Linked DNA regions of Pelodiscus sinensis. The protein of the gene in region 1 interacts with the protein of each later gene in a biochemical or structural test. Links are inferred from orthologs where the notes say so. Each region holds a gene or a part of one and is shown in the gene's direction. Other genes may lie near its edges. The genes, in order: ERBIN, ATP2B4, ARHGEF7 and MAPK12.

Region 1 (7,936 bases):
GGCTTGAAACCAATGACATACAGACCACAACAATTGGAGATCCTCTACCTGCTGCAGCTTTCATCCACCTTCACAGCTGCTGTAACATTACACTACACAACACTTTCAACTCCATTGTACATTTATCCTCTGTCTGCTCTGCCATTGAGGACTACTTGGATCACACTTTGTCTTGAACCTTGCCTTTGAATGTTCTACCATGGGTGACCCTAAGGGAGTACATGACTCCAGGCAACATCATTCGTGGGAGTTATTGGAACATGCAGGCCTCTCCATCACGATAAGGTGATGATCCAAAACAGCTCCTGACTGAAAGTCTCTATGGAGGTCAAGTCCTCCTCTGGTTCTGGGTCCCTCTTCCCCTCAGCATAGTTGGCCACAACTTCCTCCTCCTCTTTCAGTCCACTGTCATATGGTCCCTGAGACCTCGAGGTGTCCATGAGGGTTTTCAGAATGGAGGCAGGGTCATCTCCAAGTATATCATCCAGCTCTTTGTAGTATCTGTAGGTCATGGGCACAGAACCAGAGTGGTAGTTTGCTTCCCATGCATTGTAGTGTGGCATTTTGCAGCTTCTTCCCTTTGATTCTCCACTGCAGTGCATCCTGGTTGTAGCCTCTTTCAGTTATGCATCAAGAAATGTGCCTGTAGGTATTATAGTTCCTACGGCTGGAGCACAGCTGGAACTGGACTGCCTCCTCTCCCCAAATGCTGATGTAGTACAGTACCATAGTTCCTGCTAAGGTGCGCATCTGCGCAGCCGCATACAAAAAAATCTCCCCCCTGCCCATCTCCTCTGGAGAGTTGTGTGGCAGCATGCCCATGGCAGCTGGCTGCTCCAGCGGGTGGGGCCAGCTGAGCCAGCATGGTAAGGGAGCTGCTGGGGTTGGGACCTGCCATGGCTGCATGGCAGGGGAAGGGGGGGGAAGGGGAAGGGAAGGAAGGCCTGCTTCAGTGGCTGGGCTGCCACATGGCATGGGGAGCCGGGGCCTGTTCTGGCAGCTGGGGCCAGGCACGGGACCTGCTGCATGGTGGGGAGGAGGTGGGCGGGGTGGTGGTGTCTGTTTCAGTGGCTGGGAAAGGGACCTACCACAAGGCTGGGGGGACAGGGTCTGCTCTGGTGGAGGGGAACAGGACATGGTACATGGCATGGGGAGAAGGAGATTTCTGCTCTGACAGCTGGGTGTGTGTGTGTGTGTGTTAATAACTTGGGTGCCATAGTGGCACACATCCGATCGAGCACACGACCTCAATATTGATGCACAAGCCAAAATTCACTCCGTTCACGGTTGGACAATCTTAGAGGGAACACTAAACAGCATCTTTGAATGGTTCCAAGTTGGGGAACTCCTGGTGCATGGCTAGCTGGAGAGATGCCCTGAGAACACACCATATGTCACTGAGCAAACAGAAAGGGGACTCAAATCTCAAAAAGAATGCAAAGGATGGGTCTGGGGGTTGGTCACCAGAGAGCAAGGCAGTAGAGTTCAAAGCGATGTCCAAAGAGGCAAGAACAGGCAGCATGAGAAGAGTGCTGGAGACTAATCATAACACAGTACTTCACCGCACTAGTGCCCAAACGCATTATCCAGAGCACAGCAATCTCTATGCTGTTTGCAAAATTGGTTTACCTACAGCAAACTAGTGTACATTATGATTTGCCAGTGTGGATACTGAGAAAGTTACAATGCTGGGGACTGATTTACTGCACAGTAACTTGCCGCTGTAGACTTATTTTTAACTTTGGCGCATGAAATGTGTCATACTTAGTTTTAGACAAAAGGTGAGTTGTTCTGAAGAAAAAGAAGTAAGAACCTAAAAACAGCTATACTGGGTGAAATCAAAATTCCATCCACTCCCGTATCCTGTCTTTCACCAATGGCCAGTGCTAGGTGCCCCAGAGAGAATGAACAGAACACAATCATCAAATGATCCATGATACTTGTATGAACATGAGAAAATGATAGAGGTTTCATTGTTGGGGGAGGGAGGGAAGAGACCTCTTCCTAATTTGTTTACAATGCCTTTATTTATAAGTGTAAAATTTGGCATAGTTGTTATCAGATATTTATTAAACAGAGGACGGGATTATTTGAGAAAAATGTAGGAACAAAATGAGTGCAACCTAATGCATATTGCCTTAAGTCCAGATGTTGCTATATTTGAATAATTGAACATTAAATAGCAAAATATGTAATTCCTATTTACATATGAAAATATTCAAATAAACATTTGAAGGTACAATCAAATTTAAGTGCATTTATTTAAATATGAGCATATTCACTTAATCTCAGCTAAACTATTAGCACTCAAACCCCTTCATTGAACTGAATGGTAACTGTAACATTCCTGAACTGGACTGATAATGGATCTAATGATCAATCTCAGGAGAATGGCAATGATAAACTTTTTACTTCAAGGGGCTTGTCTTGATGTATAGTGCTACAGGGCATGGGTACTGGGTGAAGGCCCAGCGGTGGAAGGGAAGACAAGCCCAAGCCCCGCCCCTCCCAACAAAAGCCATACCCCTTCCCCTGCGACAATACCTCCTAAACCAGTGGTCCCCAACGCGGTGCCCGCGGGCGCCATGGCGCCTGCTGGGGCATTCGTGTGCGCCCGCTGACAACCTGGGCTGGCCCCGCTCCCGGCGCACAGGAGGCGCCGGCCCCAAGCGCGCGACACACACTGGCGCTGCGTGCGCGGCGCTCGGGCGGCTCCAGTCCCGGGGCACATTGCGGGCACTCGGTGCTCGAGCGGCGCCGGTGCCGGCCCCAGGTGCGTTGCTCGGGCGGCAGCGCCGGCCCCGGGCCCACGGCGCTCTGGCGGCCCCGGCCCTAGGGCAAACGCCGGGTGCAAGAGCATCCCAGTCCTCTTGCGTGCCCCCGGACGCACGGCTCCGCCCCCGGCGCATGAGTGGCCCCCACCTCCCGAGCGCCCGGGAGCCTCTAAAGGTTGGGGACCACTGTCCTAAACAATTCTTCCCCCTAAACAAACCCCGGCCAACTCCAGCTCTCAAACCATATCTTTCCTGGCTACCAGGAGGAACAGGGCTCCCTGTGCTACAGCCCCAGCTCTCTCTGGCTGGCAGGGAGCTAGTCTCCTGGTACTGTGGCTCCAGTCATCCCTGGCCACTGGGCTGCCACTCTAGGGCAGCTGGGCAATGTAGGCAGTTTTGGGACGGTAATACCTTCCCTTGCCTTTGTTACTGGCCACCCATGCTACAGGGGCACAGCTGTAGTGCTTTAGTGGAGATGCTATTATGCTGATGGAAGTAGTTTTCTGTTGGTGTAGTTAAACCACTTCCAGGAGAGCAGTAGCCATGTTCACAGAAGCTCTCCCATCAACATGGTGCTGTCTACACAGGAACTAAGTTGTATAATTACATTGCCAAGGGGTGTGGATTTTGAGCAACATAGTTATACTGATGTAGGTCTCTAGTCATGTAGATGTGGCTCAGGTTGTGACTACAAATCATTACTGTATAATGAGTGTTCAGTAGCATTAATAAAAAGTTTGGGTTTAGTTCAATTCTTAATGGGCCTGGATTAAATATACAGCATCACCATTCATACTGGCACATTTGTTCACAGTCCCATTAAAGTAGCCAAAGATTAAATGAGTGTGAAAACTACATCCTTAGAAGTGGCCCCCTCAGAACATGATTACAGAACAGAAGGTGATCAGCATGTGGAAGTCCATCCTGCAGTTACCAGTGCTGTCTGTCCTGTGGCTCAGAACTTTAGACTCCAGATTTGTCAATCTGGCATGGTGCATAAGTAACAGATTCACTAAAAAAACTAAGGATACAAAAAGCAAAAACAGCTACCACCACATATTGTTGAGATTTAACATGAACAGATGAATAAATCAAGTGTCACACAACAAATCTGCTAGCTACATTTCACATACCGTTGCATGTTATGAAACATTTAAATTAATAGCATATTTAGTGAAACGCTGCTTATGTAGAAAGGGGGAATGTTTCAATAAGAAATACAACTTTGAATTTCCTAGTTTAGTATCCACGATCTCAAATATAGCATGACACTATTATTAGCATTTAAGTAATTTAATTTAATACTTTTTTTTTGGAAACTCACCATGTGGCACTGTGCCCTTACTCCCCAATAAAAATACTCGAGATAAATGGCACATTGGAGTGATAACTAACAAGGTTGTTATGTGCAAGAGAACAAAAGCCTGGCACAAGACTGACTGTAATATGTGCAATTACTATATTATGATGCTGAGCGGATTACCCCTAAGAAAACAACTCTCATTCCAGACTCAAGGTTGACTCTGTCTTAACTGATACGGTCTCTAAACGAACAAGCGAGCCACCGCGCCCTGCATTCCACTGGCTGCCAACAAGCAGAAGAAACAGCGACACCTTTACACTAAAAACAGGCAGCGAAACCACGCGGCGATTGCTTAATGAGGAAGAAAAAGGGCATCAACGACTGCGAGCTGCCGCTTTTCCACACACGCAGCAGCGAGCGCTGTGGGCGTGAGAGACAAACAGCGAAGGGAACGTTACGCTGACCTCTGGCGAGCCTTCATCGCCCGCCTCCCCCTCCACTTCACCCCCGCCAGCCCCGTCCTCTGCCCCTCCCCCTCTACCTTTTCGTTTCGTTCCGCTCCTGTCACTGCCCCGCGCCCTTTCCCTGCCCCTACCCCCGCGTGTTCCTCGCTCCCCCACCCCCGCACCAACCCAGCGCACAGCCGCCCCTCCCCCCCTCAGCACATCGCTTCCCGGTTTCATGCAACGCAACTTGCTGAGGCATTGCTCGTAGAGCGCCGTGATTGGCTGGGGCTGGCCGCCCCTCGCGAGGCCCTGGCTCCGGATTGGCTGTGCTCCGCCGCTGCTCGCACTCAGCCCCGGGCTTGTGGTCTGACTCAGGAGTGAGGCAGGCGGGGTCTCGCCTTCCTCTAGCGGCCAGCCGGAGGGAGTGTGTGTGTGAGAGAGACAGACAGAGGCGCGCCCGCCCTTCCCCTCCCTCCCGGCGGCGCTGCAGTGTCTCCCCTTGGCTGTGCGGCGGTGCTGCCGCCTGCCTTGTGTATCGTGAGCGCCCCTTGCCCCGCTGCGGGCACGACGTGGCCCGGCTACTACCGGTTCCCCAGCCACCGCCCGGCCGGAGGGCGCTGCCTGTTCCTCGCCTCGCGCCCCTGGCGGCGGTTAGCGGCGCGGGGCGGGCGGGGCCGGGCTGCATGCGGCAGTCTCTATAGGACGGGACTGCAGGCGGGGCGGGCTCGGCGCGCGGAGCTGGCCTAGTGTGGGGAGGAGGCAGCCTGGCTCGGGCGGCAGGGGGCGGTGGCGAAGCGGGCGCTGCAGACTCGCCGTCTGTGCCCGTGCCCAGGGCAGGAAGTGATTCTCCAACTTCAGCGCCGCGGCCGGGGAATGTGACTCGGCCGGGATCGGTTGGCCGCTGAAACCGGGACCGGGGGTGCCGAGAAGCCGGTGCTGCGTCCTCCCTGCCCCAGCCCTGCTTCCCGACCAACAGCGGCTGCATCCGCTCGGCCCCCGTGAAGAAAACTTGGTTGGATTTAAAATTCCCCTTGGGACGGAGAGGGGCCCTGCTGGGGTAGGGTGAAGCTGATCGAGACAGCAGCGATCGAAGGTAAGTGGGTGCAGAGGAGGTTTGGGTAAGAAACCTTGCGCCGAGGGGAGGGGAAAGGAAGGAGCTGGCGCTTCATTCCGATATCCTGTTTTTGGCCTTTAGTTTTCTGCTGGGCTGTGTTGTCTGCCTGAAAAAAGCCCGAGTCTCCTTTTGTCTCTTCCAATGTTATTTGTGTGTGTGGGATCGTTATTTCTATGGAGGTTGCAAGAAGAATCTGGTGAGATCGAAAGTTTTTAAGCTCCTCAAACAGAAGTTTCTTTGTTCAGCAGGATGAGGTATTGAAGTGAAACTGCCTGGTTATGGTTCTCTTCTGAAATAGTTAGCCCGGCAGCTTAGTTCCTTTCTCTACAAATAAACACTTCCAAAGGGTACTGCTCTTAATTATTTTACTTGAAAGAAATCCAGAAGTTAGGAGATATTTGCTTTCCCCCCTTTACTTTCAAGGGTGTTGGTTCCTTTACTGTCGCCATCTAATATGTGCATCCTTTAAAAAGAACGACTGATCTTTCTTTCTTTGTAATCATTTGTTCACTTTACAAATAAGGTTGTGTTGTTTGTCTTCTGTTCTTCAAGATGAAGAGTTTGGCTATCTATTTCATCACTGGAGAAGAGTTAGTTTGTTTAATTTTATCTTAATACCTGGGGCAGGATAGCCAACACTTCTTGCATTGCCTTTCCTTATAGCAGAAATTGAATGATTTTCATATGCAAGACATATACCTACACTTAGAACCTGTAGAAGTTTATCCTGGTAAAATCTGATGTAGTCGAAAGAATGGAAGATACTATACTTTAATATGAGTTACTATAAGAACTGCTTCTCAAAATTAATATGGTATAATTTGGGTAAAAACTGACAAATTTAATTTTCATTGCTTTATATGGGACTTCTAATCAAAATTTGTTTGAGATAGGAATACACACAGGCTCAATGCAATGTGATACTACAATCATCTTGTTAAGGCTATTGCAAAAGTGTGGCTACTACATATTACTTTATCTTGACTAATTTTATTTAACACAAAACATATTATACAAAGTATCTAGATGTCCTATAACAACTTGGTTTAAGATGCTTCAGAGAGCCAATGCCAGATATTGATTACACTGGAGTTCCAAAACTATATGTGCTGAGAGAGGTCTAAAAAAAATCATTCATGTATTGTATAGATTTCAAAAGAATGCATTAAAGGCCATAGCTTGGGACTAGTTTATGTTGTCCTTGATAGAAGACAGTCTAAATTATTATTCTTGAATAACGAAGTGGATGGCAGAGTGTTTTCAGTTGTACTGACTGGATATGTTGTGTGATCAGCCTGGTTTAGGAATATGGAACTGGCTTGTCTGAGAAGCGTGTGTGCCTGAGAACCAAATATATTCACTTTTATATGAACTTTTTATACTTGTTATATATGTATTTGCCCATTTTAAGAAAGTAAAACATTTAAAAATGACCCAGATCTGATAAATAACATCAGGCAGTTTTGTGTAGTGATGAAATGATTATTCATCTAGCACAGACTCATTTAGTAATAGTATTCTTTAGTGGAAAAGTGACAGATTTGTGTCAATACAAAATAGCTTTTTCAAATGATAATGCACAACTGATCTGGGTTATGATTTATAGACTTATCTTCACAGGCAACAGAAGAGGTTATTCTTGGGCATCTGAAAGAACTAAACAAAATAGATGACATTTGAACTTCATCTTCCTTCTATGGCTTATACTTGGCAGTGAAGCAATGAAGTCTAAATAGAGTAATCCTTTTATAGAGAATGATCATTTTCCAAAGCACTGCTTCATTCCTAACAATGACACGGTTCTGAAGGTGGGGGAAAATGTAGTAAAGCATGACAAATTTAGTTGTCAACTAATGTATTCCTAATGGATGCAATTTTATTTCTTTTCGGACTTTTTGTTTTTCTGATGATGTGCTAGATATTTTTCAGTACCATGTAGGAGAAGAGATCCTTGTATTTGGGGCACCAACTTTTTGAACTGGTTTTGTCATTATGGCAGCTAAAATAAGGCCCTTAAATGATGAGAGTGCAGTTCACTGCTACTTATAGCTGGTGGTTATGCCATAAAATGGTGTTCATTTCATTAACATAGTTTAGTATTCATCAGAGAATTTATTCTTTCTTGCAACCAGCAGTGTTTTCAGAATAAAAAATTACTTAAGTAATAAAATCTTTAAATTGTCATTTTTGGTGTAGGAATGTAAGTGACTAGTCAAGTAGTTGACTACCTCATAAGTCTACACGTATTGGGTAGTGGAGTCGACTACTTGACTGCTGGCATTTCCCCCTCTCCTTACTG
Region 2 (7,145 bases), on another chromosome or scaffold:
CTATAAAACAAAGTGTTATTAAAACAAAAACACATAGAGGCTGCACTGCCTGAATTTACGTCAGTTTAGAGGAACAGGCTAAACCAAACCATGTTTAAACCAGACTAAGAGTGTCCACACACAAAAGTTACACCAGTTTAACTAGATAAGGACATAAGAATGGCCATACTGGATCAGAACAATGGTCCATCTAGATCAGTATCCTGTTTTCAGTGGCTAGTGCTTCAGAGGAAATGAACAGCATATGTCAATTATTGAGTGATCCATCCCCTGTCATCCAAACCCAGCATTTGTCTGTTGGAGCTGTGGGAATAGCCAGAGAATGGAGGTTCATCTCTGCTCAGCTGCAGTAACAGACATGGAGGAATCTACCCTCCAGGTGCTTAATCCAAATCCTGTTTGAACCCAGTTTTGCTTTTGGGCCTCTCAAAAATCCCCTGCCAACGAGTTCTACAGGTTTAGCACAGGAATACTTCCTTATGTTTGTCTGAACTGTGCTGCCTCTTAATTTCCCTGGGTGACTAACACCTGGTTCTTGTGTTATATCAGTGTTTTTCAACCAATGGTACTAGTACCCTTAGGGGGTAATTGACAGAAGTCTGGAGGGTACGTCAACACAAGTGAAATTTGGAGAAAACTGAATTTTTGTTTTAAGTTTTACAGCGCATTTTTATTTTTGTACTTTTTACACCTACCAATGTAATTACCCGCCCAGCTACGATTAAGTTGTTTAAACAAATGTGTTGCAATAGTAGAAAAAAAATTATGTATCTGAAAACTGTAGGTACTGGGGGTACTTACAAAAAATTTTTTTTGAAAAAGGAATACTTTATAAAAAAAGGTAGAGAAACACTGTGTTATATGAAGGAGCACTTCCTTATTCACTTTCTCCACACCTTTCCTGATATCACAGACCTCAATTATATCCCCCTTTTAGCTATCCATTTTCTAAGCTGAACGGTTGCTGATGGAGCAAGTGCCCCACGCTGGCAGAGAAAGGGTTAAAAGCAGCCTAAAGTGGCTGTGTGGGGAGTAGCCAATCAGGGCCCAGCAGGCCCATATATAAAGAGCTGCAGGTGGTGCTAGGATCCCAAGGAAGAGGGCTGGGTTCCTAGAGGACTGCAGGAGGGTAGAGCAGCTGTGGGGGGGACTGGGAGTGCTGGCTGGACTTTCAGACTTAAGGCCTAAGAATGGGGATGAAGAAGGTGCTGGGACTGTGGGAAAGTGTCTCAGGACATTGAAGCTGCACTGTTGAGAGGCAAGTGGAGGCTGCTAGCTCCAGGGTTCTTGGTCCAGGACCCCCAGGGGTGGTCTAGTTCTTCTCCCCCCTACCCACCTGGGGAAGTGATAGGAGCACTGAGGTGCTAACCCTCCCTGGAAAGGAGAAGCACAGTGCATAAGAGGGTGCTGTGGGTCTGGGAAGCAGTCAGGATGGTGGGCAAGGCATCCGGAAGAAGAGGGTGCACTGACCTGTGGTGCTAACAGCCAAGACAGTGAGCAAGAAGGTGCCAGTGTAGTGAGTGAGGTCCCCTGCCAGTCTGAGTCTTTTTAATGTCTGTCAACATGGAAGCTGTTCTATGTTCCTAATTTGTTCTCGGTACCCTTTCCAATTCAAAAGTATCTTTCTGATATAGACACCCAGAATTGCATACATACAGTAGTCAGGACCTGGGCATGCTATGGGCTTCACTTAGCGGCATTATTATATTGTCGTCTCACCTGTCCCTTGGTTATTGGCTCCTAATGGTCTTAGTTTTTTGTGGCTGCTGCTGCACATTTAATGGCTGTTTTCTGAGAGCTCTCCAGGAGCTCTAACGTCTCCTGAGTGGTAACTGCTAATTTTGAATTGGCACTTTGTGTAGCTGGAATTTATGTTTCCAAACACACACTACTTTGCATTGATCAGTGTTCAACTGAACCGGTCACCAATGTGTGTGAGAGCCCTTTGAAGTTTTGAATAATCTTATACCATAAGAATGGCCATACTCAGTCAGACCAAAGATCCATCTAGCCCAGTGTCCTGTCTGCTACAGTGGCCAATAACAGGTTCCTGAGGAAATGAACAGAACAGGGAATCATTAAGTGATCCATCCCCTGTTGCCCATTCCCAGCTTCTGACAAACAGAGACTAGGGACATCATTCCTACCCATCCTGGCTAATAGCCATTGATGGACCTAACCTGCATGAATTTATCTAGCTCTCTTTTAACCCTGTTATAATCTTGGATCTCACAACATCATCGGGCAAGGAGTTCCACAGGTTGACTGTACATTGCACAAAGAAGTACTTCCTTTTTTTTAAAGAAAAAAGTCTATCTATTCATTTCATTTGGTGATGCCTATGTCTTGTGATATGGGAAGGAGTAAATAACTCTATTCATTTTTTCCATATCAGGCATGATTTTATAGATCTTGATCATATCCCCCCACTTAGTTGTCTCTCTTCCAAGCTAAAAGTCTCAGTCTTATTAATCATTCCTCATATGCCAGCCATTCCATACCCTTAATCGTTTTTGTTGCCTTTTTCTGAACCTTTTCCAGTGCCAGGGAAATGGTTGTTTCAAAGTTGGCCCCCTTTTTCCAAGTCCTTTATGAATATGAGGAATAGCATTCGTCCAAGTAAAGATTCTTGGGGAACCTGCTATTTACTTTTCTCCGTTGTGGAAAACTGGCTATTTATTCCTACCCCTTGTTTCTTATCTCTTATTCAGTTACTTATCTATGAGAGGAGCTTGCCTCTTATCCAAGACTAAGCAAACTAAGCAGGTGCTAGTGGTGTGGGATCTTGTTAAAGGCTTTCTGAAAGTTAAAGTGCACTATTCCTACTGGATCACCCTTGTGCACATGCTTCCTGGCACCCGCAAAGAATGCTAAGGGCTGGGGGCAGTGTGATCTCCCTTTATGAAAGCCTTGTTGACTCTTCTCCCAACATACTGTGCTCGTCTGTCTGATAATTCTGTTCTGGACTATAGTTTCAACCAGTTTACAGGCTGTCAAGTCTAACATCAGTACTAGGTAATGTCAGTATCTGGAACCCTTTTTAAAAACATGTTACACTAGCTATCCTCCAGTAAGGCATTGTAGCAAATTGCAGTATTTTGTACAGACCAGGCCTAAGATCAACAGAATTGTTTCCGTGAGTTAGCTCTTGGTTTACAAGAAAGCAGGGGAGGATTTGGTGTATACATTTTCAATTGTTGTCTAGTACTGTTAGCATAGCAAACTTTTGGCTTGGGCATGAAAGTGCAAATGAAACTAACAAGAAAAAACTGAAACTAACTAGCTTTCTTTTCACTGGCCAAGCTGATAAGCCCAACTCATCAGTAATGAAAGTGATGCCCCAATCTTGCAATGGTCTCTACACCGGAAGCTGCACTAGTCTCCTTGCAGGATTGGACACCCAGATTCTGAACTTGCTTCACATTTTTCTACTGCAGGCCCACTGCTGATAACCATGTTCCCTGTAAGCTGAGGACTTGAGTGGCTGCCTGGCTGATTAGCAGAGCACCCACTGCCACATGCAGCCAGCAGCACCTTTTTCTATGGGTGGTGTGCATCTGCACGTGTGGGTGCACATACCAAAGTTTATTTTGCCCACGGCTGGAAAATATTAGAGGGAACACTGTGGATAACTCATTCAGCTGGGTGAACTGCTAGTCCTGGTCCTTACCCCATGGATCCTAAGGGGATACTTGCTAATGGGGGGGGGGGGGGGGGGGTAAAAATATTTTAACATTTTGCTGTAAAATGCACTTTTTCCCCCTCCTGTTTCCTCTGAGCTTGTAAAGTTAGGAGGCCTGGCTAGAGAGGGCAGGAAATAAATGTCCAATGTCCCCTCTTTAAAGATTAAGAGCTTTCTGCAACACCCACCCATAATAAACCCCACAACCACCCCCTCAGCACTGTTTGATCTCTCCAGCTGGCTTCAGAGGCAGAAGCAGGTAGGGATCTAGGGAAGAGTGGGGTGGAAACGCGGGGAGAAGGCAGATCTGCCTTTTGCCTCTTCCCCCTTAAAAACCAGCCCAGCAAAGCGCCTAGCAGCAGCGGGGCTGGCCTGCCTGTGCAAGCCACCTTAAGAGACTTCCTCCTCCTCTCTGGGATGGGGCGAGGCTGGCTGGGCTAGGCAGTGGCGTTGCCATGACAAGCATTTTCTTCAGCTAGCGCCGCTCGTGTCGGTCTCGCTCCATTCGCGAAGGGCTGCGATTTGAAAACGGAGCGAAGGAGGGGCGGGGGGAGCCGAGCCCAAGCCGGCCCCTACCCCTCGGTCTGCTGATTAGCTGCCTTGCAGCGGGGATCGGCGTTGCTTTCCCGAAAGACCTTCAGCGCTAAAGGACATTGGGGCGCTCTCCAAACTGCTCCCCTCCAAACTTTGGGAAGAGCAACACCAAGCCAGAGGGGGTGGGCGGAAGAAGGCGAGGGGGGGGGGCGGCGAATCCAGGAGTTTGGGATTTTTTTTAACCCCTTCCCTCCCATGGCAATCCAGGGGAGTTTCCCAGCCCGGGGAAGACTGGATTACTGGAGGCGGAGGGAAAGCAGCGAGAGCAGCCGCAGCCTATGAATTGAGATTTGTGTGTGTGTTTGAGCAGCGCATGGCTGCGGCCCCCCCAGCCTGCGCTTGGCGCCGCTACTTCGCCAGCCCGCCGCTGCCAAACTCGGACCAGCTGGGTGGGTTGTAAAAATCGGGCTGGAGGAATCCGCCGGCGTCGCCTCTCCGAGCCAGGAGCAGGGTGAGTGGTTTTTCCTGCTTGTGCTTGGAGCCTTCCCCTTCGCCCGGGCCTGAGCTTTGCTCTTCCCCGCAGGGTCCGGGAAGGGGGCGCCTTTATTTTGAAGGGGGGGGGGGCCGCTGGCGGGCTCCCCCTGGCTGAGGATCAGGCGCAGACTGGAAAACTGTTGCAAATACATTTTCCGTGTCTGCTTCGCGCTCGCTCCGTGGTGCAAGCGGGGAGAGAGCCAGAGCGGGGAGAGAGCCAGCGATCGCCCGGGGGTGGGCAGGGAGGTGGCGTGTGTGTCTGCTCCCGGATCGCGCCTTGCAACACGAAAAGCCGGGAGGGAGGGGGGAGGGGGGTTTCCTTTCTCCACGGAAATCCAAGCCGGTGACTCGCCCGGCCATGCCTGCAACAGCAGCCCCCGGGCGTCCTGCGGAGTGGGCTAGCTATAATTAGCCGTGGAAAATGCAGGGAGTTCCCTTAAGTGGAGAGGGCTGGGACCCAGGGAGAAATGCCCCCTGCTCTGGGGAGGGGCTTCCAGGAGACCCGGGAGGGGGGGGGGGAAGGAGAGCGGAAGGTTTTGTGTGTGGAATGAGGCTGGGAGGTGGCAGTGGGGTTATTGGCCGGGGGGGCTGTGAACCAGTTTGTCTAATGGAACCACAACGCGCTGCAAGCCCGGGAATCAGGCCCCTCGAGGATCTGGGGGATTTTCCCCTTTATTTGCCCCTCCACCCAGATCAGTCCCCCCCCTTCTCTCCTAGGCTTGCTGTCTTTCCCCAGTTCTCCCTTTGGGCTCCCCCCTTCCCTGGACTCAGCTCTGCCTCTCTGATGCAGCAGGATTTTCTTGTCTTGTTGGCCCTCGGGTTTCCTTCTACTGCATCCCCCTCCCCCCATTTATCTTGGATTAGGACCCTCTCGCTGGAAGTGCAGGGAAGTGAGGGGGGCTTGATTCCGCAGGGAAGAGATCCATCCATGGGGGGAAAGATTTCTCCAAGGAGATCTGGGTGGCAGGCGTGTGGCTAACAATCCTGCCGCTGTGGCAGCGCCTAGCCCGCGAGGACTGACGCTCACCTGCATGTGGGGGCCTGTCTGGCTGGATCCGACTGTAAGTTCCCTGGGGCAGGGGCTGTCTCCGGCTGTGTGTGCGCACCGCGGCGGTGGCTGGTGCGCTCCCAGCCTGGGCAGGGTGGTAATACAAATGCCCTGTGTGTCCAGCAGCCTGGACTGTAACACAGTAACCTGCCTTACGGACTGGGCACACAATAGCGGGTCTGTCTCAGCCCTGCCGGAGAGCCTGGCGTCACTTGAAAAGGGGTGTGTGTGCGCGGGGGTCTCTTCCCTGTGCCTTCTGCTTGTCGCCCCCTCCCCCCTGCCAGTAGGGCTGCCAGGCCCATAGAGGATTGGGACTGGGCACAATGCTAGCTCATTGGCATGCAGAGGGTGGGGTCAGCACATTGTGCTCCCCTAAGTGACCCACTGGTGTCTAGTCTAGAGGGGGATTTGCCTGGGGAGCGGAGGGCGCCGTGGTCTGGCTGGGATGCAGTGCTGGCAACATGTGCTCCCAGCACGCTCCTGGTGCTGGGGAGGGCGTCAGCTGGATCCACCTCTGCAGGGTTCATTCATCAGGGAGGTGCCACCCTCCCTGCTTGCACAGGATTCTCCGTGTAGCTGCCTGGCCGGCTGTGTGCAGCAGGTGGGATGGGGGGGGGGGCTGCTTTCAGGGAACCGACAGGTCTGGAGCGGGGAGCAGGTTGCCTCCCCTCTGACTCTCCAACATGGGTTTGGAGGGTCGTGAAGGTGCAATGATGGTCAGGTGGGGGCGCCGCCGGGAGGAATGGGTGGAGGGCAAGGCTACTCTGCCAGCCCCCCGCAAAGGTGAGGGGGAATTGTGCTGTTGAGAACAGAGCTAGGACGAAGCTCGGTGGGGCCCAAAGACAAGGGACACAGCGGACAGCTTAGACCCCCAAACAGGCCCTGCCTGGTTTCCAACAGGTGCCAGGATCTTGCCAGCTCTGCAGAGGGGAGGGGTGCCTCCTTGACCCCCAGTGGGGAGCATGGACAGGGTTCCATTCTGGGGGGGGGCTGCAGTTGTGACTGAGAGGAGGCATTGGGCTTGTGCTGGCAGCAGAGCTAAACTATCCTGGGCGGGGGGAAGAGGGCAGATTTGGCTGCAGGGGGCACATCTCTATGCCATGCAACAGTGAAGGTCCCACCCTTTCAGCAGCATGCTCCTGGGGCCTGCAGGCTGGCTGGGGTCAGACTGCAGGACTGGAACCTTCTGATCCTTGGTGCAGCGGGGTGGGTGGATAGGGCATCAGGTGGCCTGCAGCACCCAGGCAATCCTTTTTGACTCCCTGCCAGCCTCCTGGCAGGTGGGAAAGAAGAAAAGCTCCAGCCGGGGAGACTCCCATCTGTTACTATGCTTCTCCAGGGGAGAGC
Region 3 (7,720 bases), on another chromosome or scaffold:
CCGCAGGCGTCCGGAGCAAAGCCGCGGAGCACGGGGGCAGCGGGACAGCCCAGACGCGCTGTGGCTGTCCTGCTGCCCTCGGGCTCTGTGGCTTTGCTCCCCATCCCCCTGGTCTGCAGACCAGGGGGACGGGGAGCAAAGCAGAGCAAAGCCACGGAGCACGTGGGCAGCTGACAGCCCAGACGCGTCTGGGCTGTCCGCTGCCCGCGTGTTCCGCCGCTTTGCTTCCTCTCCCTGGTCTGCTGGAGACCAGGGAGAGGGAGGGCCCCATTTGTAACTGCGGATCCGACATAAGTCGGATCCGCGTAACTCGGGGACTGCCTGTACAAGACAGACACAGGGGAAAGAATAGATGAGAATGTGCAAATGAAATAAATGAGTGATGGTTTGTCAGTGTCATAGAACTAATAGAATATTTTAACATTTTAAACAATCTTTGGGTGGCTTTTTGTTTATTTTAGTCTTTATTTTTATTTGTATTAACTACATTATAGGGCAATGATAGGAGGGATTGGATGACTGGAAGATTAGCTAAAATGAAAAACATAAAAGGTGAGTGGAAAGAGGGAGGGAAAAACAGGAAGAAGCTGGAGGGCAAGATGGAGATGGGCATAGAAGGAGATCAGAAGCTGAAATGAAGACCATATGAGGATCTGCAGACCAGGGGGACGGGGAGCAAAGCAGAGCAAAGCCGCAGAGCATGTGCAAGAAAAACCCTCTTGAGCAATGCCGTTACACCTATTACTTTTCAGGAAGAACAGCATTGCGCAAGAGAGTTTTTCTTGCGCAAGAAGGGGCAGTGTAGACGCTCCTCCTTGCGCAAGAGGCTCTTCTGAAAAAAATGGTGGCTCATTAGGTATGCAAATGAGGCTCGGCGATATTCCACGCTTAGCCTCATTTGCATATTAATCGCGCAAGAAGCCTCGAGTGTAGACATAGCCTTTCTGTTTTATATGTTGTTGGAAACTATGCTCACAGGTTTTCCAGTTAGTTTGGCCATCTATACTATTTTCTGAACAATATCAAATATTCCAATATTCTTCTATTGCTTTTTTGTACAGATATATATTATTTAGTTGCTCTTAAATGGTCTGTTGAAGGAATAAGTAGAAAAGCAAAAGTGATATAAAATTGAATGCTAGCATACATTTTGGAAAAGTTATTAAGTGGATTGTGCCCATGAAAGCTAATGATACCATCTGCATTTTAGTTATTCTCTATGGTGCTGCAAGACTATTCGTTGTTTATTAAATCGCATGTTTGTCAGTTTAAGACAATCTCTAACTATAAAGGATTATGAGGAGATGTAACGCAGAGGGCAGACTATACAATATTTGCCTGCACTTCCCTCTGAAGCTGCTGCTGCTAGCTACTGTTAGAAACAGGATACTGGACTAGACAGACCTTCCGCAATTGCTATGTTTCCTGTGTGCATATAAAATGAGTTTAGCAGCAACATATAGCAAAGTGTGTTGGGCCACTAATGATGCAGCCAATCCTGCAATCACATGGACCTTTTCTAGGCTAGGAAAACAGATTGTTTTTTAAAATAAGTTAGCTACCAAACTTTGAACATAACTTTGCACCTTGTGTGGCCACTTCAATACTTTCAAAAATTTTGACCTTAAGTGCCTTAATAGGGTCTTGTCTAGACAAGGCTTTAAGCACATGGATAATTTCAGTCACAGAAGTAGTTTAAGGGTACGTTTAGACAGCTGGGCCATTTTGGGATACCTGAAATAGCTATTCTGCATCATTTAAATGCACCCGTTATTTTGAAATATTTTTCAAAATAATAGGCATGCTATTTCAGTATCCCTGTAAACTTTGTTCCACGAGGGTTAAGGAATGTGTCAAAATAGTGCATTGTTTTGAAATTTGGCGCTGTATAGAAATAATTAGAAATAATTTCAAAATACAATTGAAATAAGATAGGCAATTTGCGTAGCACAACCTAACTGACATAAATGGGACAAAGCAACAAATACATTATAAACCACTTTGCACAAGTTCATTTGCAAAATATTTGTAAGCACTTTACACTGGCTTAGCAACAACTACCATAAATTATAATTGTGGAAAGTCACAGAAAGAAAATCAGTGAACCATATGGCAGACTGTAGACATGATGCCTGGAAATGAACACAGCCAGGGAAGCCAGCACTTCAGTCACTGAACATTGTTTTAATAATTGGCTCATTGCTCATATAAACTGCAAGCAAATGAATAAAATATCCAAATGGGATCAGTTGGACCATGGATATGCTGCCAATGTTCCTAGAAGGAATTCTCATTAAAATGTCCTCCTTTAGCCTTGATAAAACCCATATTTCTGAGATGAGAGTACTTGCAGATAGGACAATGAGGATCTGATGAAACTATACACTTTTTCTCCTGTTTAAACAAAAACAATTTGACCAAAAAAAATTTGACCAAGACAAGTGTATTTTGCTGTTCCTTTGTTCTTGCAAAAATACAAACTAAATTATATATTACTAGAAGATTTACCTGGTGTTGCTTGGGTCCTTAACTCAGTTAATTTTTGTTTTGCTTCATTTAAATCATTGCTCTGGTGTGGGGCTGGGAATGAGAGGTTCAGTGTGCTGGCTGCCCCAGGGATAGAGGACAATCCCAATCCTCTCTCACTACAGCAGCTTGGAGTCAAGTGAGAAATGCTTCTCCATGGCTGCTGCAGTTCCAGTGGGCATAGCTAAGGGAAGGTCACATGTCCCCTGGCTGGGACAGGTCTAGGTTTGTCTGCCCCCTACACTCCCCAGCCAGAGTGAGGAATGCAGCAAAATATGCACTTTCCCCTTGCTCCTTGGCGAATGGGAACAGCCAGCAATGTCTCTGTACAAATTGGGGCAGGAAGAGCTGCAGCTTCCTCTGCCCTCCCTAAAGGCATCTGGGAGGGGTGGGAGGCTTGGGGCTGACCCAGATGGGGGGCGGGTGCACCCCCAGCCATCCCCTTTCACCTGCCTAGTGATTCTGCCTCTTTTCTGTATGGTTTTGTGTGTCCCTGTATGAATCAGTGGGGAGCGTCACCCTTCCCCATCCACACACCCAAACCCTGACCTTGTTTTAAGGTATGATAATAGGAAGCTGTATACCAAATTTGGTGGTCCTAACTCTTATTGTTTAGGAGTTCTTTTTATGCATCCCTGTATGAATGGGGGGGGGGGATTCAGCCCCTCTGCCCCCGCAGAACCAAACTCGTACCTTACTTTAAGTTTAAGTTATGAAAAGAGGAAGCTACATCACAAATTTGGTGGTCCTAGCTCTTACTGTTCAGGAGGAGTTGAACAGACGGATGGACAGACAGATTGCAGAAAGACAAACTTTCTTAAATATATAGTAGATATAAACTGTTTTACAGTACACTATTAAATTTGTGTAATTTGAAATAGGGAGCTGAGTGCAGTTTTGCGGGAAGTTTAGGAGCATTCTGCCCTGGTAATTTTTACAACTCTGTAGCTACAATTTGGTACATTTCAAAGAAAAAAAATCTACTCAAGAATATTTTTGTGAAAACAGTTATCTCTGTAAAGGTGTTTAGAATGGGTCAGCATTATCAAAAGTAGAGAAAGCAACTCAATCCTCTTTTATTTTGGTAGTAGAGTTTCAATACCTGACTTGCTCCTGCCAATTCTGCTCCTTCAAAAAACGGCAGTTTTCTTGTTGGAAGTCTATTAAGGTATTGCACTGGGTTTCTTTTCCTTCTGGTATCTGTATGGCTCCAGAAGTCAAATGTAATAGCAGTAAAACACTTTGACTAGGAAATATCAAATTATACAAAATCGTTATTTATAAATCTGTTCTCTTTTATATGGTGCGTTCATTGATTGCAATGAAGTGTCATAAACCAACCCTACACTAGAGGGCACATAAAACAAATTGTTTGTTTAATGTTAGATCCTTGTTAATGCTACCAAGGTCAAGCACAATACAGAGCAGACCTATTCCTGGCAGATTTTATGAGTCCACTCTGCACTGTTTAGGATCCATCGTGTTACATAGGGAATTAAAATGTTCACTCAGCACTGTTGGCTTGCCGGGCAGTAAAAGAGAATATGGCACACACTTATTTTTAATGCCACAAAATCCTGAAGGATGCCACGATTTGCCAGATCAAATATCCACGTTGCCTCGAGGTGAATAACGCCTATATAAATGTTACCAGTGTTAGCCACCATGTATATGGGGGAGGATTTAAATAGTGTCTCAGGCAGCATCTAAATCTCACCATGGATACTGGCTATGTGTATAAATATGTGCACGGTTTGCCAATGTGTGCATGGCAACACCCATCCCCATGCAATATGTGTGACTCTATCAGACACAAACACATCCCCCCCCACACACACATTGTTCCTGTTACCTAAGCAGGGTTCATTTGTGCACTAGCTCAAACGTTCCCATTTGTATCCGGGGTGCAGAGGCGGGAGGGTGCGATCGCCACAGAGGTGCCAGCGCTCGGCGCGGGTTGCAAAGGAGGCCGGTGCCCGCAGCAGCTGCGCCCTCCACGAGCCGCAGGTCTGTGTGCCGGGCAAGGGCCCCGCGTCTTTTCTTCCCCGCCGGCTGTCAGTGATGTCATGCGGAGGCGGCAGCCGGCGCTGAGGGCGGAGGAGGGGGAGGCGCTGCAGGTTCATGTGTGTGCAATGAAAAGGCAGTTGACAAGCTGCCAAAGCGCACGAGAGGGAGAGGAACCGGACCCGCTGGCTTTCGCAGAGCCAGGCGTCATCTGCAGCAGCTCCATGGCGCGGGAGGCGGCGGCGGCCCCGGCCTCTGCTGCTTCCATGTGAAACCCCCAGCAAAGGGGTGGGGGCGCTGGGGGGGCACCGTCCAAATCCAGCCTCCTCCGGCGCGCGATTGCTTCCTCCCCCCCCCCCCCCCAGCCGCAACGCCTGGCCGCGGCGGCAGCAGCCATGAACTCCGCGGAGCAGACCGTTACATGGCTGATCACCTTGGGCGTGCTGGAGTCGCCCAAAAAGACCATCTCGGACCCCGAGGGGTTTTTGCAATCGTCGCTGAAGGACGGGGTGGTGCTGTGCAGGCTGCTGGACCGCCTGCTCCCGGGCACCATCGATAAAGTAAGTGCACGTTCCTCGGCCCCTTCGCCCCACCCGGGCCCCTTGCGGCGGGAGCAGCCTGGGCGTGTGTTTGGCTCCGAGCTCACCCCCCCCCCCTCCAAGCCCTCTAGCAGCCAGGCTCCCGCACCCAAATAATGCCCCGCAGCGGGTCATGCATCCGCCCTGCAGGGTGTCAAATGCAGCCAGGCGCCAGTGCAACCGCCCCATGTGCAGGAGGAGCCTCTGGCGCTAAGCGCCTCTGCTGTGTAGGGAGGAAAGGGGGCGCCGCGGCGGGGAGAGCGGCGCTTGCTGCGCGCAGCCACAGGGGCTGCACCCGGGAGACGCGTCCCCGCCCGGGTCCCCCCGCGCTGCTTCCCAGCCACGACCAGGCCGGGCAGCGAGCCGCTCCGGGATGAGATGCGCGCACTTTCCTTTGTGCACCGGGCCCCCTCACCCCACCCCTGGAAGCACAGACCGCGGCACGGGCGGCGGGGGGTGCCCCACGTCAGGGAGGCCAAGCCCCATCTCCGCCCCTTCCGCCCGCGCCCCACCCCCACGGGCGGAGCCCCCAGAGCCCCTCCAGCCTCCCGGGGGAGCCTCGGGCCCGCCCCCCACCTGCCCGGGGCAGCTGAGGGTGGTGCGCGCGGTGGCAGAAGCTGCGCGGCACATCCCGCTTCTCAGCCGCATGGCGCCCCGCACAGCAACAGCCTGCCCCCAAACCCGGGCTGCGGGGCCCGCGGCCGCTCCCGGGGCCTCTCCCGGGGCAGCGGCAAAGGGAGCGGGGCGGCCTTTCCCCTGGGCCAGCGGTCGCCAGCCGCGCGGCAGCTTCCTCCAGCGGGCAGCACCGCAAAGGCGCCATTGCCGGGGGACGGAGGAAGGGGCGCAGGCGGGCATAGACTTTCCCGCAGGGCTGGACTCAGGAGGTCACTTAAAAGGGCAGGGAGCCGGGCTAAGGCAGAGCTGCCCCCCCTCCTGCGCGGGAGGAAAGGGGGAGACTGCCCGGTGAACAGGAATTCAGCTGATTGAATACGACTGTGATGTGTTAGATTCTGTACTGGTCTATTAAAAATGGCCAGATGAAAACAATTTCCCAATCAGATGTCTTCCTGCAGGAACCACGTGACGAAATCTTATTTAGGAAATTATTAAGTGTATTACAATGAGTCTTTACAAGAACCGAGGGCACTTCATAACCAATAAGGGTGACAGTGGGGTGTGTACACCCTCACACCCCTCACCTTTATTGGTTATGAAGTGCCCCAAGTGCTTGTAAAGACAGAGTCCTTGCCCCAAGGAATTTACATTCAAAAGCCATGATTTGGTTTCTGTGGGTACACTGAATGGAGAGGTTCTGTGCAGTCATTGTTGATCCACCCCAGTGCAGGATTGGGGCCTAAACAAAGGTGATGATAAGCAGGGAGAGTGGGCCAGACAACAAGCAGTGTAGTGTGCTCAAATGGTGACCTGTGTATATAGGTTTTTGGGGAGAGGAGTTTTTTTCAATTTTTGTGAGATTCTTTTATAGGGGAGAAAATGTCTCTCAATATTAAAATCCTAGCTGTATGTGAAAGAGAAATGTATACAGAATTAGATGTATTTATATCTGTCTTACTTTAGGACATTCCAAAACCAGTCCATATAACTACTGGAATATTAAAAATGTTTCCAACAGCATAGGATGCAATGTGACTGGGTCTCAGTAAACAGTAGAGGAATGTTTTTAAACACTAGAAATAGTTTTCATGTAGACTGTTTGCTTTTCTATTACTCAGGCCTTTTATTGTTCACCTATCATTCAGAACAGTCTACTTTTTTTTAAACTGACATGGCATTACAGTTTTATTTTGTGTTATGTGAAAAATACAAACATAAGATGTGAAATAACTTTTATGTACCATGTACACTTATATACATGTAACCCTTTTTCCAGGTAGTGCCACTAGCATCCAGGGCTAGGTTCAATATGTGGGGGTTCCTCTCCATCCATCTAACACAGAACTGGCTAAAGCCCCCAACCCGTAAGATGGGAAATTCAAACAACACCCTTGGGTACTTTTGAGAGGCAGTGCTTCCCCATTGCAAGCACAGAGTCTGAGTGCAGAAAAGAAACCTTTAATATAACCTTTAATAGAGGAAAGGGAAGTAATGTGGTATTAATTTGTGAAAACACCACAAACAGGGTTCATAATCAAAACCATGAGTAACAGTCCCACCCCAAGTAGATTGGACAATGTCCTTTTCCTCTCAGGTTCTTAGGCCCAGCAATGTAAATGTCCCCTCCACATACCCAGCCCTTTTCTGCACCCCATTCACAGTTGCTGCCCTTGGTCAGGGCAGACCCGGAGTTCAGAGGTGCATCCTCAGAGTTCACCTCCTATCCTGAGAGGGGTGGAGGTAAAGAGGCATCTTACTCCACTGGTCACTCACCATCCACCTGCTCGCTGCTGTCTGGCACTGCTCTGCTGGCCATTCTTCGCCCCTTGCTGCCGCTGCTCTGCTGGCTGCTCATTATGCCTCTCCATGGCCGCCCTGCTGGCTGCTCATCGTGTTGCTGCTGCTCATGGCATCTTCCACTGGCTTGTGGTGGATTTGACTCTGGGCCAAACCTAGTGATTTCAGCTCTTGGCCCAAAGCACAGTCCAGCCACAAGA
Region 4 (7,999 bases), on another chromosome or scaffold:
TTTGCAACCCATACAGGTAAAAACTTTACTGCAACAGAAACAATTCAACCAAACCAAAACTTGAGGGCAGTGGGTTTTGAGCTGCACCTGCACTCAATTATGACAGGTTTTGGTGAAAGCAGAAAGGAAAGTGAGTTCTGGAGACATTAAAGCCAGATGGCCACATTGGTAACAAGAGTCAGCCCATGCAACATACCTATTTTGTATAATATGGGAACGCTGGTACAAGTTACAAGATAAATGAAAAAATACCATCTGAATATACCTGGCATCAATGACACAAGATAGGCAGGGAGTGGCAAGATAGAGCCTGATCGTGCTATGGTCTTAGGAAGAGGAACATACAAATGTGATATAGGAATTACCCTGGGTAACCTCACAATGAAGAACCTGTGGCTTGGGGAAGACAGACTAGTAAGAGCAGCAAACAAAGCATGTCAAGTGTATAATAATCCAAGTATATGCACTGACAACTCAGCAGTTGGCAGTGAAAATAATGCATTCTGGGAGCAGGTGCAGCAAGTATCGGATGATGTGCCTAATCATGATATCAAGCTGATGATAGGCAACTTCAGTGCACAGTTGGCAGTAACTCTACTGGCTGGGAAGGAATCATAGGCAGTGATGGAATGTATATTAACTAACTAACTAATAATGGCAAATGGCTCTTAAATGTCTGTAGCACAAATACCCTAATCAATGATAGACATCAGTCTTTTCCAACACAAGAGAATAAAGAAGAAATGCAGGCAAAATAGAAGAACCTGGGTTCAGGAGAAGGCTGCAGAGGCAGAAGAAAGAGCACAAGGGAGATTTCAAGCAGCTCCATAGAATAGTCAAATACATATCAGGAAGAACCAGACTGTCACAGGTGGTGCCCAGCAGGGATTCTCATGAACCTGTTGAAAATGCATAAAGAACAAGGCAATCATTCTATACTAACGTGACCAAAGTCAATGATCACAAAGCTTGGTGAGAAATTCCATGGGTAAGCTAGAAATAGAAGGGGGACAAATAACATCTAATGAAATAACAGCATTGCAGTCACCAAAGTTCTTAAACGGGAGAGATTCTGGGGTTGACAGAATTCAATCAGCACTAATAAAGTCTGGAGGGAAAATTCTGACTGAACAGCTAATAAAACTCTGTAATGAAATATAGACAAGTTAAGGTAACAGGTGCAACAAAACTGGAAATATGGTACCACTGTGGCACTGCCAAAAAGTCTGATCTTATTCAGTGCACAAGCTGAAGAGGAATTGTACGGCTAACAATCCCAGGAAATAATTGGCTACCTTTATGCTGAATAGGATGAAGGTGGCAGTGAATGAAATATTACAAGTCTGGATTCCATCCAGATAGTTCCTGCTGTGAATTGATACTCACTCTTTAACAGATCATTGAAAAAGCTACTGGTTGGCAACTAATACTCCATTTTAATTAACTCTCTCTAGTTTAAAGAAAGCATTTAATAGAGTCCACAGAGAACCCTGGGGAATATTGCTAGAAATTATGTGATACCAACAAGCTTATCAACATTATATGCTGGAAGGAGACCTAAATTAAGAGGAGATACAGGCCTACATGTTTCAATATTGTGAGTGGTGTCTAACAAGGGTATGTTTTATCACCAAACCTCTTTGCATTAGTAATAGATTGGGTGATGAAGCAAGCAACAAAAGGTATCATGGATTCTGTAAAATGGGTTAGCAGAGATGAATTACATTATCTTAACTTTGCTGATGACATTGCTTTATTAAGCATGATGGGGAACTGAAGGATTACCCTTACATCAGCGGTAGAACAGGAAGCATAAAAAAATTGGATTGAAAGTAAATGCATAGAAAACCAAGATTATGAAGGTAGGAAACTGAACAACAGATTCAAAGATGTACACTGATGGAAAAGAAATTGAAAAGTTGAAAGAGTTCAGCTATGTGAGGAATGTGTGATGACATTTAAAGGAGGCTGTGATGAAGATGATATTACAAGATTAGGAAAAGAAACACCACTTTTGGAAATATGACCCATAACCATTCTGATAGAGATCTCTACTCCAAACTAAGGATCAGATTATATCATACAATTATACTGAGCATGCTACTGTGGAGAGCAGAGACTTTGCCAATGAGAGTTGCTAAAAGAAACTGAAACTGAAAGCTGCCCAACACAAATGGCTAAGGAAGACACTACACATTTCATGAGCAGACAAAATAACAAATGAGAGAGAGCTTACAGAGCAGGACATGCTAGAACATATCAGCAAAGAAAGAAGACACATGATGTGGTAAAATGGGAGAACATAACTTAAGAACATAAGAAGAGACATGCTAAGCAAGCACTGAATTGGTTACCTGAGTGAAGAAATAGAACATGAGAAAAATCAAGGAAGCACTTGCAAGACAGAGACAGAGGATGTAGCATACGTTGGCATTACCTCAGAAGAAATACAGCAGAGGAATTAAACAGCTTGATGTGTCTGTGGCACTGGAGGAACTAAGGTATAAGGCTCCACTTACATATTAAGTGATATGTACCAAAGTTGTTCACTTTCACTGTGTAGTATGTAGTTATACTGCAGAACCAGCTTGACTGTAAGCACTTACTTGATGCAACAATATAGGCAGTCCCCGGGTTACGTACAAGATTGGGACTGTATGTTTGTTCTTAAGTTGAATTTGTACGTAAGTCGGAACTGGTACATATTGTACCCCAGGTGTCCCCGATTCAGCTGCTGCTGAAACTGACCAGCGGCTGACTACAGGAAGCCCGAGGCAGAGCTGCTCTGCCCCGGGCTTCCTGGAATCAGCCGCTGATCAGTTTCAGCAGCAGCTGACTTGGGGACACCTGGGGTAGAGCAGCTGGGGTACTGCCAGGTTGGTCCCCGCAGCGCCGAGGTGCGGCGCTGCGGGGACCAACCTGGCAGCACCCCAGCTGCTCTGTCCCAGGTGTCCAGATTCAGCCGCTGTTGAAACTGACCAGCAGCGGCTGAATTGGACACGGCTGGGGCAGAGCAGCTGGAGTGCTACTGGGTTGGTCCAGTAGTGCCGCACCTCGGCGCTGTGGGACCAACCCGGCAGCGCCCCAGCTGCTCTGTCCCAGGCGTCCAGATTCAGCCGCTGTTGAAACTGACCAGCGGCGAGAAAAGCCTGGTCTGCTGGGGGGGAGGGGTGCACTAGCTGCGCCCCCTCCAGCAGACCAGGGAGACGTTGGTGGCGGGACCGCCAAGATGCTCCGTGGTCCCGCCGCCCGCGTCCTCTGCGGCTTTGCTCCGCGTCTCCCTGGTCTGCTGGGGGGGGGGGACCCCCAGCAGACCAGGGAGACACGGAGCGGCTTTTCTTGCTGCAGAGGACGTGGGTGGCGGGACCGCCCAGACGCGCTGCTGTCCCACCGCCCGCGTCCTCCGTGGCTTTGCTCCGCATCTCCCTGGTCTGCTGATGTGAAGGAGGGATATAGACAGGATAATAGGGAAATGGGAAACTGTGAACGAGTTTTACTCTGACAATTGGGCCAGAGGTTTGGGGAGAAGTAGAGAATGGCATGTTATGTGACAGCAAAAATAGAAAAAAATGTTAATGACAGTTACACCTTTTCACTGTATGATCCACCAATTTTTGTTTAAATCTGTTTATCTACACAAACTTTTTCAGTTATTCACTTTGGTGCAGGATATGTTTCTCAGGCTATGTCCAGACTGCAAGCTTCTTTCTGAAGAAGCTTTTCCAGAAGAGATCTTCCAGAAAAACTTTTTTCAAAAGAGTGTCTACTGAGCAAAAGTGCAATGAAAAAGTTATCTGCTTTTTCGAAAGATAGCATCCACTTTAATTGAACGCTATCTCGCATTTCAGTTGTGATTACTGTGGATGGAGTGGCCACCAGGGCACCTGTGCTTTTTCCTGCAGGCCTCTTCTTTCAAAAAAACATTCTTCCGTGACCACACACACCTTTTTTGGAAAAAGCTTCTTCGAAAAAAGGCTTCTTGTAGAAAAAAGTATACCGCTGACAGAAAAAACCCTCCATTCCTTTGACTTTCTGTCGAAAGAATGCAATAGCAGCATGGATGTAAGTGTAGTGTTTCCAGAAAAACTCCCATTTTTCCAGAAAAACTCCACAGTGTAGATGTACCCTCATTCTGTGTCCACACAGTGCTTAGCACAACTGGGCCCCAGTCCAGTTGGTGGGAGACTTTAGATGCCACTGGAATAAATTAACAATAACTCTCCACTGATCAAATGTTCCTTCATCCCCTTAATCGACCATAGTAGCTCTGACAAAGATAAAAAGAGATGGAAGTAGCCACCCTTGGGTTCTTTCATGTGCATACAAGACGTTGCCTTTTAAGTGTATTTTATTTTTTTGAGACAAAAAACATTTACAAAAGCCATGGAACTAAAATATATACCAAATTTTACTGCAAAACCATGCTGCTTTTGATTACTTGTGTCAGTGTAATGTTTATCAAACTGTTCACTGGGACAAACATCTAGGCTCCATATAGGCAACTAACTGGATTAGTGGGTAGGTACCAGTTTGCAGCATTGGCTCTGGGGCCTCATATAAGTAACCCCTCTTCACCGGGGTCTTGTCTGTAATGCAGCGTGCAAACCTTGCTTTCTTTTGTCTTGTTGCTTGCATGTCCCAACACACTCTCTGTAAATAAGAGCGTGTGCCATTCAGCTAGACCCTCCCTTTTTCAGAGAACTCAGAGATCACACCTAGCTAGAAAGCTGCTTTCGAATACAACAGGCTTCCTTGAAACAGGCTAGAAATGGGGGGCCTTTCGGGGTGCGGGGCGACATCTCACCACGTGATCTCGAGTTGGTTTGAGAAGAGCGAGCAGATCCTCCCTAGCCCAGGGGCTGAGACCCTCCCAGCCTCGCCATCAGGCAGCAACCGCAGGCAGGAAAGTTATGTGTCTGTGACAAAGCAGGCAGCCCCAGATGCGGAGGGGGAGGGGGGAATTCAGTGTGACTCCCACAGGACCTCCTCCTCCTCCTCCTCCGAGAGGGCAGGCGTGGAGGTGGGGAGGGGAGAGGAGAGGCGGGGAAAGAGAAAGCCGGAGCCACATTCAATCCCCGCTAAGAGAGGGTCCCACACGTACACACACACCCCGGGAGCGCTTCCAAGCCCAGCCCCTCGCACCAGCCCCGCCGCCGCAGCCCCTCTCTCCGCCTCGGGGCTCTTTGTTGGAAGGCGCCGACAGGGGGCCGAGTCACCATGTCCTCCGCCAAGAAAGGCTTTTACCGGCAGGAAATCACGAAAACCTTGTGGGAGGTGCGGGAGCGCTACCGGGACCTGCAGCCGGTGGGCTCCGGAGCCTACGGCGCTGTGTGGTGAGTGAGGCAGGGGAGCAGGGGGTCCCTCCCAGCGCCTTGCCCAGGGCGCCCCGGCCAGGACAGGGCTGGGCGGGAGCTGCCTGCGCTGCGCGCCCGGGCTAGCAGAGGGCTGCTCTCTGCCTGGCGCCCCGCCCTGGCGCTGCAGAAAGGGCTCGGGGAGGCGGCTCGGGGGGTCCCTGGCTCGCGGGGGAAGCGTGGCCACTTTCCCTTTAATTCCTTCCAACTTTGTGGCTGCTCCGCCCCCAGCGGGGCCCGGAACCGCTCCCCGCGGTGCCGGAGTCACTGCAGCCAGTTCCGACATCGGCCCGGCCGGCTCCGGTGCGAGGGAAAGGCGTACGCCCGGTACCTCCGCGCTCACATTGCAACGAAGGGCAAGTTGGAAGGAAAGCCCAAAGCGGACAGTTCTGCGATCCTGCCCGGAAAAGCTCTTCCTTAGTGCCAGGGGGCAGGGCATTGAGTTCATCACCTGAGGCATGAGAGTTTCTAGCCTTTCTGTGTAACTTTGCATGGTCCCATTCATGGATATAGGCAAGCACTTTCCTAGCTACCCTAAAGTCTTGCAGTCCGCGGTGTCCTGTAGCAGTGAGTTCCACAGTTACATAATCCAGTAAAACTGCATTTCCCTATTATCTTTTTTGCATTTTGACTTCATCAGAATGTTCCATTCTTTATTACAGTATGAGAGCTGATTGACCTCTGTTCAGACATTGCTTTATAGACCTCTACTGTGGCTCATCAGAATTGCCTAGGAAGAATGGTCTATTTTCATGGTGTCCAACCAGTTCTGAAGCTATAGCTTAGGGAGTTATTATTCCCACTTTACAGTAAGATAAACAAAGGCACAGATAGGTTATGTGACTTTGCCTCTGTAACATAGCAAATCAATGGCAAGGCGGAGCAGAGCCCCACACCTGGAGTCCTCTAACTTATTGTTCAATGTACCTTGCGTGTCAGGACTTCCAGCATCACTCCAATCCTCACTCACAAACTCTATACTTGTTTTCTTAAAGCTCAGCTATTGATGGAAGAAGTGGCATCAAAGTGGCCATCAAGAAATTGTACCGTCCATTTCAATCTGAACTCTTTGCCAAACGAGCCTATCGGGAACTACGCCTCCTGAAACACATGAAGCATGAAAATGTAAGTTTAGTTGTTAGCATATACTCTCAAGACTGCAGCTTGCACAGCAAAATGCATACATTTCACCATGCATGGTGCCTGATCTACTGTCCCCCATACTTCCAGTATTCCCATAATCTGCCAAGGTAGACATGCCCTGGCACCGCAGCATCAGTAATTTAGCTCTAACAAAGATTTTTAGCCATGTATTTAGCATAAAAAATAGTGATGATGAGAGTGCATGTATGTGCCATTAGAGAGCAGCCGTCAAAAAGTGACTTTAACCTATACTGTTTGCATGCATTTGTCTATGGCTATCCTGTAGATTTTAAACTGTGAGGGATAGTTTTTTTTCTATCTGTCTTTACAAAGCCTACCACATTCTGGGCACTATTGTAATGTACAAACAAATCTATAAACACAATGCATGTACACCTATATACATTGTAACTTGCACAGTGCATATGCCTGTCTCCTGTGATGGAATACTTGTTGGAGAGGCGGAATGTGTGAGTAGCTTTGAGGATTAACTCCATGGTGATCTGGAAGAGAATAAAATGATGGTTTGTGAGGAGCAGCAATCAAGGCTGGACTATCAGGGATGAAGGAAAGTGATAAAAGATGAGTGATTAAATAGGGAGAGGCAGAATTGTTTTACTGAGGGCATTCTGCACCAAAAAATAAAAATTCTGCACACAATTTTTTAAAATTCTGCAAAATTCTGCAAATTTTATTTCTCAAATAAATGTGGAGGCCCCAGCATGACAGTGGGGAACTCTGGCTACTGGCTGCACAGAGATGGGAGATCACTGTGCAGCTCCACTGCCACAGGTCATGGACTGTGCAGTGAGACTGCACCCAACCTTGACAGAGCACAAGGACAAAGCTTGCCCAAGAAATACCTTATGGGCAAGGCCTGTCCCTCCTTGACAGATGCCCCAGGTATGGTCAGGGAAGCTCAGCAAGGCAGTTAAGATGACCTAATCCCCCAGTATAGACAGCATTAGGTCGACGGAAGAATTCTTTGGGGAGGTGCCTTTTGGGGAGGTGGATTACCTACAGTAATGGGAGAATCCTTCCCCTTGCTATGATGTCTACACTGAAGCAATACAGTGACACAGCTCAAGTGCTGCACTGGTACTACTGTCATATTTCAAGTGTAAACAAGATCTTAGTCACTTGAAAATGTCATTTAGCTGCTTCTTGAAAATTTTAGTCACTTCGATATAAGGGAAGTGGAAAAGGGAAACTAGAGGGAGATTCAAAGAAAATGTGAAGATCGGATGTGATCAGAGTAGTGGAAGGTGATTGTAACACCTGTGTTTGCTCTGGATTGGAGGAGGGTAATGTGTCAGGGAAGTGGAAAAGGATAGGGCTGCAGTAATGAAGAGAGGATTGGAGGGAAGGAAGGAGTCAAAAATTACAGCCAAATTATGTGCCTGATGGACAGGAAGGATAGAAATATTGTGAACAGCAGGAGAAAATAGGGAGCAGGGGAAAGGAGTTCAGAGGAAATCTCAGATTCATTTTTGACTATGTTAAAA

Evidence for each region.
Region 2: the proteins of ERBIN (region 1) and ATP2B4 interact in a test that uses a peptide from one of them, tested with the Homo sapiens proteins (2 studies listed by BioGRID and IntAct). The link is inferred for Pelodiscus sinensis from reciprocal best matches to the Homo sapiens genes ERBIN and ATP2B4.
Region 3: the proteins of ERBIN (region 1) and ARHGEF7 interact in a test that uses a peptide from one of them, tested with the Homo sapiens proteins (2 studies listed by BioGRID and IntAct). The link is inferred for Pelodiscus sinensis from reciprocal best matches to the Homo sapiens genes ERBIN and ARHGEF7.
Region 4: the proteins of ERBIN (region 1) and MAPK12 interact in a test that uses a peptide from one of them, tested with the Homo sapiens proteins (2 studies listed by BioGRID and IntAct). The link is inferred for Pelodiscus sinensis from reciprocal best matches to the Homo sapiens genes ERBIN and MAPK12.

What each region holds. Positions count from the first base shown.
Region 1 is NC_134716.1:89,980,216-89,988,151, reverse strand, and holds the start of ERBIN (erbin), read left to right. Parts: upstream 1-4,933; 5' UTR 4,934-5,616; intron 5,617-5,642; exon of another isoform or gene 5,643-5,891; intron 5,892-7,936. UniProt on the Homo sapiens protein: Acts as an adapter for the receptor ERBB2, in epithelia. By binding the unphosphorylated 'Tyr-1248' of receptor ERBB2, it may contribute to stabilize this unphosphorylated state.
Region 2 is NC_134737.1:8,689,759-8,696,903, reverse strand, and holds the start of ATP2B4 (plasma membrane calcium-transporting ATPase 4), read left to right. Parts: upstream 1-4,133; 5' UTR 4,134-4,727; intron 4,728-7,145. UniProt on the Homo sapiens protein: Calcium/calmodulin-regulated and magnesium-dependent enzyme that catalyzes the hydrolysis of ATP coupled with the transport of calcium out of the cell. By regulating sperm cell calcium homeostasis, may play a role in sperm motility.
Region 3 is NC_134711.1:239,396,902-239,404,621, reverse strand, and holds the start of ARHGEF7 (rho guanine nucleotide exchange factor 7), read left to right. Parts: upstream 1-4,704; 5' UTR 4,705-4,925; coding exon 4,926-5,090; intron 5,091-7,720. UniProt on the Homo sapiens protein: Acts as a RAC1 guanine nucleotide exchange factor (GEF) and can induce membrane ruffling. Functions in cell migration, attachment and cell spreading. Promotes targeting of RAC1 to focal adhesions. May function as a positive regulator of apoptosis.
Region 4 is NC_134711.1:37,391,877-37,399,875, reverse strand, and holds the start of MAPK12 (mitogen-activated protein kinase 12), read left to right. Parts: upstream 1-4,991; 5' UTR 4,992-5,217; coding exon 5,218-5,333; intron 5,334-5,529; exon of another isoform or gene 5,530-5,807; intron 5,808-6,346; coding exon 6,347-6,476; intron 6,477-7,999. UniProt on the Homo sapiens protein: Serine/threonine kinase which acts as an essential component of the MAP kinase signal transduction pathway.